2 linked regions of the Arabidopsis thaliana genome follow. The protein of the gene in region 2 interacts with the protein of the main gene of each other region in a pairwise test. Each region holds a gene or a part of one and is shown on either strand. Other genes may lie near its edges. The genes, in order: GB2 and NPSN13.

Region 1 (4,966 bases), on a different chromosome or scaffold from region 2:
ATAAACTTATAAACTTTCCCAGGGTACTTCAGCCTAAAGCAATCTTCAAACTCAACTCTATCAGACCCTAAATTCTTAGGCAAACCCTGCACCATTATAGTAAACACAGCAGTAGAATTCGCGTTCGGGTCACTGATATTCCCATTCCCATCTCTAAACCTAGTAAACTTCAACCTAGCTTCAATAGCAGCGATTCCAAAATGCGAGATAACAACAACAATAACAACAAACACAAAATGCAGCCAAAGCAAAGCTGAACCTTTCTGAATATGCGTAATCATCGTTTTCGAAAGCTCATCACTCAACAAAGCAGTCCCAGCATATAAATTCAACGGAAGCATAACCGAAACAGCTAAAACAGCAATGGAGAAAAGAAGCACAAAGCTTCCACCTTCAATTAAAAGAAACTGAGCAGCATCAGCACCACAGTGACGAGCGATCTCGCGACACGTGGCTTTCCAAACGGCGAGGAGCTTAGAGAAGAGAGCAGAAGGACCAGGCATACGACGGTGGTCGCTGCGTAGCTTAACGAAGAGAAAGATGGAGACGCAGCATAAGAGACCAATGACCGAGATATTAAGCAGATACTGAATGTTGCCGTACCAAGCATCTGGGATTTCAGGTAAGTCGCCGGAAGATGGAGGAGGAGAGAATGAATTATCTATTGTCATTGATGAAATCGGTGGCATCGCAGCTGGTGAAAAATTGCGATTCATCGCGAATTTCTCAACCAAATTGAGAAACCCAAATCTTCGAAGTTTCTTCAGAGATTCAGGATTTATACAACAAGGTTTTGATCAGGAGAAATTTGGGGGCTTTAGGGTTAGACTTTGGGGGAAGTAGATCGACGAAGATGATGGCAAAAGTAGAAAGGTAAATAGAAAAGGAGGAACAAGGAATGCTATCGCGGTTTCGAATCTCTCAAAAGATTCTTCTCCTTAAATCATGAAATTTAATCCCATCTTTTTAAGATAAATACACCCAAAAAAAACGAATTAACACAACTAAAAAATATAAATAATTTGATAGAAGTATATCAAATTGGTAATTTACAGAGTTTTTATGAATAAAACGATAGTTCTTTAAACGATAATTACATATTCTCTAAATATTTCGTGATTAGTAGAATAAGAGAATATAATCAAATTCATAACTCTTGTATATTCATTTTAATCAAATTCTCCTTAAAGCATGAAATTAATCAAATAATTTGAAGGTAAAATACCCAAAAAAATACGAAATAACATAACTAAGATCGGTTTGAGTTTGGGATGAAATAACATCCCCTGTTCTCTAATGGATGGAACTCTGTTTCGAATTTGCTTCTCGAATTTGCCATTGTAGACTATAAGCATTTGTAAGGAACTCATCTCTAATGTAGGATTTGAGTTCTTCTTATCTTCCCACTAGAACATTCATCTTAAACACAGTTATGTAATTTCCATAAGAGATATGAAACAGAGCATACTACCGTGATAATCCGGACACAATTGATATTAGTAGCCTTGTATCAAGGTACGTGTGTATTCCCCATCATATAATAAAAGAAGCTTTTGCTAATGCAAATTTCTGGTAAGTTCACAGTTTTGATGTGCAAGTTCTTTTGTATCATCAATTTAGCGATTATGGACTGCGCCATGCTTCAGATGAATAGAAAAAAGAAACTTATGCTGGTCTCGAAATCCACTAACCAAGCCATTCAACATCAAAGAAAAAAGCCCACATTATAAAAAAATAAAAAAGCCCACTTTAAACTATCAAATGCCCAACAATGGATGATGCACTAGTCGAGTCAGAGTGGACGGAGCCAAAGGCAGAGATGGATTTTAAGCTTTAATTTGTTTCCCAGATATTTTTCATCTGGTCCCTCTGTTTTTAAATAATTAACTAAAACGACTATAATAATTAATAAATTATACTATAGAGTATTTTGTGTGGATTTTTATTTACTGTTGAAACTTAAGGATACAAAAGAAAAACAATTATTCAGATAATTCGTCATTAGATCCCTTTAATTTTAGTAATTAAGTAAAAAGATTATAAAAGATGAGAAGGAGAAGATAGCTTCTTCATCGAGAAACCTCGAAATCAAAAAGCACGTCGGTGACTTGTACTCTTCAATCTCTTCTTCCTCTCTTTCACATCTCCTTCTCTCGAACCCATCGACCTGCGCTAATTCATCATCGACCTTGCTCAAATTCATCAACCATGTCTTACGATTATCTCTTCAAGTACATAATCATCGGAGACACAGGTGAGAGACCGATCTTTCACCTTTCTTAATTCCCAATTGTTTTATTTTTCTGGGTTAAATCCATTTCGTGCCGATTTTCATGTGTTTTCGTTGTTGTTTTTTTTGTCGTTTCAGGTGTGGGAAAATCGTGTCTGCTTCTGCAATTTACTGATAAGAGGTTCCAACCAGTCCACGATCTCACCATTGGTGTTGAGTTCGGTGCTCGGATGGTCACCGTCGATGGACGCCCCATCAAACTCCAAATTTGGGACACCGTACGCTTCCTCTCTCTTCTCTTGGTCGTAATTAGGTCATCAGGGAACTAATCACGTTTTATCGATTAGGATTGTTTTTTTTTTCTCCCTAAGGCAGGATGTGATTAAGAAGATTAATTGTCATAATCAATTCAATTTCTTCGTTTTTATATAAACAATGCCTCATTAGAATTGCCAATACCAAAAATTATGTTTGAAAATCATGTCCAGAGACTCAAAGTGGGGTAAAATTTCAAAAAAGTTAATCATTGCACGGTTCTTGATTAAGTTTCATAGGCTTATTGTAATAGAAGCTGAGTTCACCAGTGCATTCCTTGTTGTGATTTCTTCTGGTCAATAGTTCTTCCATTAGATGATGTATGTGTTGGAGTTGTGCTTTCTGATTAAAGTTTCGTATGATATTTTTTAGGCTGGACAAGAATCTTTTAGATCCATCACCAGATCATACTACAGAGGAGCAGCCGGAGCTTTACTGGTTTATGACATCACCAGGTTAGTTTTTGCCTTGCGACAATATATATCAGCTCGAACTTCTGAATTCCCCAGCAAGGTTTTGGAAGTGATTGGTTCTGTATTTGTGATTTGATAAACCTAGACTGTTGGAAAGGTTTTGGAAATTGGGAAGTTACTTTTATCTGAACAAAATCCTTGGCTATAATATTGGCAATGCTTGTTTGGGAGGATGTTAAGTTAACCATCCATCTTAAATTCTTGCTAAAATAGATATTTTTCCTCCATTGTTTTGGAATTTTGAAAGTTATGAAGGACATGAAGAATTGCAAGAGTTTTATCATTGAGGTTTTTCATGCTTTGATCTTTCTGAAGCTCAAAATTCTTGGTTCTTTGGGTTGCAGGAGAGAGACGTTTAACCATCTGGCAAGCTGGTTGGAGGATGCTCGGCAACATGCAAATCCTAACATGAGTATTATGCTGATTGGGAACAAATGTGATCTTGCTCACAAGAGAGCTGTTAGCAAAGAGGAAGGTCAACAGTTTGCCAAAGAACATGGCCTGCTATTCTTAGAAGCATCTGCAAGAACTGCTCAAAACGTTGAGGAGGTGACATTTCTTCCTTGCAACTCTTTTTCCCCATCCTGTTATTTGGCTGTAATCACATGGAGACTTTTGTCTTCTTTTTCTGGATTCCAACAGGCCTTCATAGAGACTGCTGCCAAGATCCTCCAGAACATTCAGGATGGTGTCTTTGATGTATCCAACGAGGTAATTTCCTTGTTGAATCTGGCAATATACTTAGTCTTCTGGTGTTCTCTAATCCCTCGATTGTGTTACAATGTGATTCAATTCCCTTGGTCTCTCTAAATTTTGCAGTCATCAGGTATCAAGATTGGTTACGGGCGTACTCAAGGTGCAGCTGGAGGAAGAGATGGTACGATCTCTCAGGGAGGTGGCTGTTGTGGTTAAAAAATCCTCGAGAGAGGTGTCACATATCTGCTGTAATCTGGTGATTCAGAAACTACTATTGCTTCTATTTACCTCTGCAAATGGATACACCAGAATGTATAGTTTCTCTTTCTTTCTTTCTTTTTTTCTCTTTTTCCCAGATTGTCTTTTATCAAAAAACCAAACGGGTGCATTTAAGAGTGAACAGGCTGATCTTTATAAACCAAACAGGCGTTGGCTTATTTAAAACGTTGTCGCTTTGTATGAAGCTCTCAAGGTTAAGTAATTGAAATCAAATCAGAATAATATCCAGTCATCATCTAGGTGAAATTTCCTTATTCATCTAAACGAACTGGTTTTAAAATACCCAGATGGTTCACAGAGATCCCAATAAGCAAATAGAAGTAGAAAACGAAGAAGCCATGATACCATCTTTCTTCCTCTTGGTCCCTTTGCTTTAACGCCTATTAGGTAATGTCCCTTCCCTAAGCCGCAAGTTATTGTATGTTCGCGTCACTAACATCAGTCTCGGATCATCCTCTGGTATTTCGCGTTCCTATGATTACCACACCACAAAAACCATCAATAACTAATACCAAGAGAAAGAAAGTTTGTGGTCAAATAAGAAAAAGGTTTTTTATTACTTTCAAGCCCTTGTAGTAAGCTTCAACAGCAGCTAGTGTTGGTAGAATATTCCGAGCTAGCATCAGATCCCATATCATATTTGCAACTGTGTACCCTCCCGTCTGCCATAAAGAAAATGTTTTTTTTTTTTTAACTTTCACTAAGCCAACTCTTTATATCAGTAAGATATTTCCAAAGTTTTTAGGGGAAGTTCAAGATTTTTACCTTTTCACCAGCGGCTTTGAGTAACAGATTGCTTCCAGTTCTTGGGTCTAAGAAGAAATTGCGTTCGTTCATTTGGATCTGCATTTACAAACAAATTGTCATCAGGCTCTACTATTGGCCCGTGTTTTGTTTACTTCATAGATTCTTTTTTTCAGTACAGCTCGAGCCAATAAGCATTACCAGAGTGTCCTGAGCAATCTTCATTCCA
Region 2 (5,771 bases):
CCAATTCGTTATTTTGTTACTTAGAAGAAAAAAATCTTTGAAACCAAACAAAGAAGTTGCAGCACCATCTAGACCCGTGTCCTCGTGTGTCAGGTGAAAAATTCCAAATTTGTTATGAGATAGAATAGCGGAGATTATTACCAATGATTAGCTGGAAAACTAAAAAGTCTCAAATTCGTTTGTAGTGAATTGACGTTAAATTTATATATTTGTGGTCTTAATTTTTTCCATCATCAGCCGACCCTGGATTCAATTATGTTCCGGCTTCTGAGCAGCATCTCTTATATTTGAACTCGATTGATTGGTACAAAATATTAATGTCTTCAAGGTAAATTCTGATTGGAAGAGTAGTAATTGATTCTCCAGTAATAGAAAGGTGAAACAAAACGAATTAAAGGAGAATACAGTCAGTAGTTTCATAAATACTTAACGTCAGAAATGTAGTAGTACTCTTCATCACGTTCTTCGTATTAGCAAGTTACAGAAAGTGATAACCATTTGGACTCTTCTAATGAAATTCCAGCTGTGTCATGAAACTTTCTACAGTAGGACGAAGAAAGGAATCTAATGAAAACGTGAGAGAGTATAACATTGGTCTGAATTTTATACAAAAGAAGTGATAAGTTGCTACAAAAAAGAAGAAGGAAAAAGAAATAGAGACAAAAGCTGAAAATATACACACCCTCCAATCAAACCCAGATTCAAACGAATGGGTTAAAACAAGTAAAAGAACATGAAGATAAACATCCCCAAGCCTCGTCAACTATCAAAGCACACAATGCCAACAAGCACAAACCCTCTCTCTAACATCCATGAAATGGATTGTTAACAAATTAGAAGGAAATATCGAACCTCAAGATGCAATTTCCTCATTCCTCGTGAATAAATATACAAATAGAGATTTATATTCTCACATGTAGTCTTGATTCCTCAAGTACAATAGCTTCCTCGATTGCGCTGGAGGAGCTAATCCTGGGATGTCCCTAATGTCTTTGTTATTCGGATTCACGATCTGAAGAATTAATACAAAAACCAGAGTTACAACTTGCTAATGAGCAATCACAACTTTCAACAGAGAGAGAAAAGACAGTACCTTCACTATGATTATGGCTACTACACCGCATACAATGAGAAACAGGAACCCCATTATGCATTTATCGGTAGCCACCTGAAATAAGTAGACATAAGCATTCAGGTTTTGAGGTCAAGCCAAAAAGGATAAATCTACATATGTCCATATGAGGTTACACACCTGTCTCCCTATCTCTTTCACCAGCTGGGAGGCCTTCTTGATTGAGAATTGAATAGTGTCCAAGTGGTTAACTACGCGTCCCATTTGATCCGTCTGCAAAATTTTCAGGTTGTTTAAGACTCTACTCATAAGATTAATATGGAAGTAAAGGAGAATAATTTGCATTACCTGTCCCTTTAAATTAGCTGCAGTTTGAGTTCCAACTTCGAGTGTTTGTTCTACAACCTGAAAGGAACAAGAATGTTACCATAGATATATTCATATAGTAACAAAGGCTAAGGGGAACATAATTCCTTCTGTAACTTACCTGTTTTGAGCGCTCAATGGCCTGATCAGTCTCATCCATTCTTTTCATTCCAGCATCAACAAGCTCCTGGTTTGACATAGCTATACATAATAAAATGACAAAAGCCTTCATCAGTTTTTACATTCCCAATATAATATACTTCGCGCCTAATCAAATTATCAGAATCATTCATTTCTATTATCTAGGCCACCGATAACATTTCTAGTGCCATATTACCATCTGCCAGAAATTTACTGACAGACATCACAAATTATGCCAGACGAATAACCAGAGAGCATTAGTTACCAATCCAACATATTCAAGTACATATAGCATTAAAAAGTCTAAACTTCAAGCATGTCAATCTCTAATTGTTCTAAGCAAACTCATATTTTGGTGGCAACTGAAGACAAGAATGCATAAGGACTCACATGAAGCCACTTGAACATTTTCCTCAGCTGTAGGTTCGCCACTAACTCCAGCTCCCATATCAAAAAGCTCAACTTTCTTGTTGCCAAGGGTACTCATATACCTGAGATTCAAGACCAATTTCACATGTATGAACACATAAAAGTCAAATGAAATCCTATATAGATATTCTGAACGGATCGATATGAAATCAAAACCCTAAAAGAACAGGTTGAGATTCAAATAATCAGCTTTCTTAAAGAGGAATGATAGAAATACTAACGTTTTTCTTAGAGCAACGTAAGAATTGAGCTCCTTGATCTGTAACATTATACAAAAGAAAAAGTTAAACACAGATGTTAAAAAGTTCATACAAACAAAATGTTAGCAGATACAAAGTACAGAGGGGAGTGATAGATACACAATGACACTCAATATCCACCTTAATATATCCATTCGGTTATAAACACACCTAAAGATTGACCAAACTGAATACGACTGATGCTGTATAATGGAACTTTACGAAGGTGCCAAGTAAGAGTTAATATTCACATATTTACTTCAGATACATATGACATTGTAGTATAATCAAAGAAAGGCCTCAATGAATTTAATAAACAAAGGATAAAAACTCACCATAGATTGTTTCTCATCGTTCAATTGCTTATTTACTTCAGGAGAATTTCTAGCTTCCTCATCCTTGAGTTCACGGTCGAACTCTTTGACCAATCTGACATGAAGTACACATTAGACAAGCAAATACAGATTATTGAATCATGGATTTGTCACATCAATACTCTTTCCTTCTCAATTCTCATTATACGGCATCGTATCCAGCTCAAAGAAAAAGAAGTACGCATAACAGTGATCAAAGAGCACATTCTACTAAAGGCAATTAGCAAACAATGTTGTAACGCCGAGAACATAATGGTAAAGCATAGCAATTATGAAATAAGTATACCTTTTACACTCTCTCATCTTGTCAGTAAGTTCTTCAAGTTGTTTGCTTTGTCTAGTTGAATCCTTAATCTTATCCAACCTCTGGAAACCATTCCTGCAAAACAGATAATGGTGAATCATTAAAAGAACAATCTTTTGAGTGATGACTAAATCTAATTCTTATCATCAGCATTAAGCAAAACACGCATAAATCCTATTGAGCACACATAATCAAAAAATTCCAAAACCCTAAAATATATATCACAGTGTTTCGTAACCACGACAGAGATAGTTAGAAAATTGAACAAGAGGATAACATGTAAAACATACGCGAGGGCTCGGAAATGGTCACGGATTTCGCCATGGATCTGCTCCAATTGAGGGCTCATGGGGAGATTAGAAGCCATGTCGCCGGAGACAATTCAGAATCCGACGAAAATTTACCCAAAAACTACGTCACTGCATCTAAAATTTCCCTCCAATTTAAATTAAAACCCTAATTAGACAAAAACTGAAGTTAAAATCTCCAAAAAGAGAAAACACAAAGGAGAATGAATGAAAGACGAAACAAAGGACGACAAAGAACGGGAAAAGGGAAAGAGAGCTGTCAGGTGTGTGTTGTTTTTTTCTTTTTTATTCAAACATATATATTTTTTAAAAACAAAATTGATTAATAAATAAATTAAAAAGACAGATATTCGGTAGTTAAAAAAATGACAGCGAGGCGCCAACTTTTTGGTCCCATCCATATCCGTTGTTAGATAAATTATTTCACTTTCACTAATTTCACCTAATAATACTTTGATTATATTCTTCTAGCCAACAAAATTTTCATATTTTTCGAATATTTTAAGGATACAATGCTAGAATTCAAAATACAGTGTTACTTCGTTAGAATTGTAGCACTAACTAATCATCGTCACTAAGATCATCATCGTAAGGATCAAGGTTGTCTTCACCTTCACCGTCAACGTTACCAGATTCCATGTAAAACTTCTCCTCCTCTTCCTCATCGTCTTCATGGTCTTCCTTCTCTGCTCTGTCTTCCCCGTGCAAAGCCTCCTCCTTCACCAATAAACTACATTTATTAGCCTTTTATAAAATCACTGGAATGGCGTTTAGCGTTTCTCACTTTAAGTAAGTTAAGTACCTCCTCCTTCTCGGATGTTACGAGCCAGTCAGGGAGCAACCGATCCAGCAAAGCGTGGTTAAGAGTTGGTGGTGGTTCATCCTCATAATGTAGCCGTTGCTTCAGCTGTTTTTCTCTGAGCCGTAAGTTGTAATGAACGTATGTTAGATCTTTCGTTGATTTTTTCCCAAATTGGCTCTGGCATTGACTGTTAACTTGGTCGTACACGCTCCACTTAGGCTCACACCCAACAGACGAGCAAGTGTGGCTCAGTATCCGAACCGCCACTCGCTGGAGTTCCAAACAGCTTATCCCATGCTGTTGCCACCACGCCGATGGATCAAGCTCTGTTCTTGTGCCAATGGCTATATCCGTTCCAAAATCAGCTTTCGCACAAGTATAATCCGGAATCTGAAAACATTTCAACAAAAAGTTGGTTTAACCTCAGGTTCTGAGAACAATGTGTGTGACTTGGTGATTTGTTTTTTGTCTCACCTGCATCAATGCTGTGATTCTACGCGTGTTATCAGGCTCAAGCCTAACAATGCATTCGTTAACTCCACGCACAACCTCAGACTGCTGCAGATTCATTCACATTTACAGCAAATGTAAGGAAAATGGCAGAAAGCTTTTAGTCATTGATTCAAATGAATGATAATCATACCTACCGCCATAAAATCAGGACGATATTTGTATGCCGGGTTGAAGAAATATGCAGCCACATAGAGAGGATGATGAAACAATGGGTTCCAACGGTATTCTATCACCCGCCAAAACGGTCCGTATTTCCTTGCATCATCGCTATGAATAGACTTGATCGCCATTTTCGCACAGCACATGTAACCGTAAGCATATGGCATAGATAGTCTATCGCCACCATCATTGATCATGTGAATCACCTGCATCACCGGATCAACCGATTTCAAAACATACTGAACCTTCTTCCAAAACACAGCACTCAACACCATCTTCTCCACTTCTCTTCCCTCTTCAGACTTGGCGGCGGTCTGTGACAAAATCCAGCCGTCAGATTGAAACAGACCTCTGAGACTGGCCTTGTGGTCCATAAGACTTTGAAGAGTGGTGAACCCGGAAGCGTGGCGCATGACTGCTGGTCTAAGAAGATCTAGTCCCTGTGTGAATTCGTTCTTCATAAGATTAAGCAGCCATGTTTGATTGTAAATGAATCTTGTGATTCTTTGGGCTTTCTCTAAGCACTCGGAGACAAATTCTAGCTTTGAGAAGTCTTCAAGAACCAGTTCTGTGCAATGTATTGCACAAGGAGTCCAATACAAATTCTTTCTCTTCTCTTCAAGTAATTTTCCAGCACTTCTAAAGATAGCAGTGTTCTGTGTAATAACCTGCACCACATTTTCCTCGCCAATGTCGTCAACTAGTTTGTCTAGACACTTGAAAAGGCTTAAAGCATCTTCTACTATATCAGTGGCATCAATCGAGGAGTGGAAGTAGACACCACGAGGGCACGAGACCAAGAAACTGATCATTTTCTTGCCCTCTGTGTTGGTCCAAGTATCTGCCATTATGGAACAACCTGTAACCACCCAAGAAGATCTGTACTCCCTCAAGTAGCTTTTGATAGTTGACATCTCTTCCTGTAAGAGCCTACCAGAAAACAGCTGACTCGAGGGCACAACGAAACCCTCTCCGTACATACCAATCAATTCAATCATCTTTTGAAAGTACAGAGAATTTGCTGCTTCTGTGGGAACTCCTACATGGTGTAAGAATTTGGAAAT

Evidence for each region.
Region 1: the proteins of NPSN13 (region 2) and GB2 interact in a protein complementation assay, tested with the Arabidopsis thaliana proteins (one large-scale study listed by BioGRID).

Annotation. Positions count from the first base shown.
Region 1 is NC_003075.7:16,986,082-16,991,047, reverse strand, and holds GB2 (GTP-binding 2), read left to right. Parts: upstream 1-2,000; 5' UTR 2,001-2,208; coding exon 2,209-2,254; exon of another isoform or gene 2,255-2,368; coding exon 2,369-2,508; intron 2,509-2,917; coding exon 2,918-3,000; intron 3,001-3,362; coding exon 3,363-3,567; intron 3,568-3,660; coding exon 3,661-3,729; intron 3,730-3,837; coding exon 3,838-3,930; 3' UTR 3,931-4,208; downstream 4,209-4,966. Other genes in the region: AT4G35870 (early-responsive to dehydration stress protein (ERD4)), read right to left, coding at 1-716; AT4G35850 (Pentatricopeptide repeat (PPR) superfamily protein), read right to left, coding at 4,367-4,465, 4,554-4,655, 4,759-4,836, 4,939-4,966. UniProt on the Arabidopsis thaliana protein: Intracellular vesicle trafficking and protein transport.
Region 2 is NC_003074.8:5,968,999-5,974,769, forward strand, and holds NPSN13 (Putative plant snare 13), read right to left. Parts: upstream 3,575-5,771; 5' UTR 3,293-3,574; coding exon 3,216-3,292; intron 3,001-3,215; coding exon 2,908-3,000; intron 2,677-2,907; coding exon 2,583-2,676; intron 2,268-2,582; coding exon 2,230-2,267; intron 2,071-2,229; coding exon 1,970-2,070; intron 1,640-1,969; coding exon 1,560-1,639; intron 1,478-1,559; coding exon 1,421-1,477; intron 1,346-1,420; coding exon 1,253-1,345; coding exon of another isoform or gene 1,249-1,252; intron 1,169-1,248; coding exon 1,094-1,168; intron 1,013-1,093; coding exon 911-1,012; 3' UTR 567-910; downstream 1-566. Other genes in the region: AT3G17450 (hAT dimerization domain-containing protein), read right to left, coding at 3,795-3,950, 4,036-4,425, 4,510-4,593, 4,683-5,771. UniProt on the Arabidopsis thaliana protein: Vesicle trafficking protein that functions in the secretory pathway.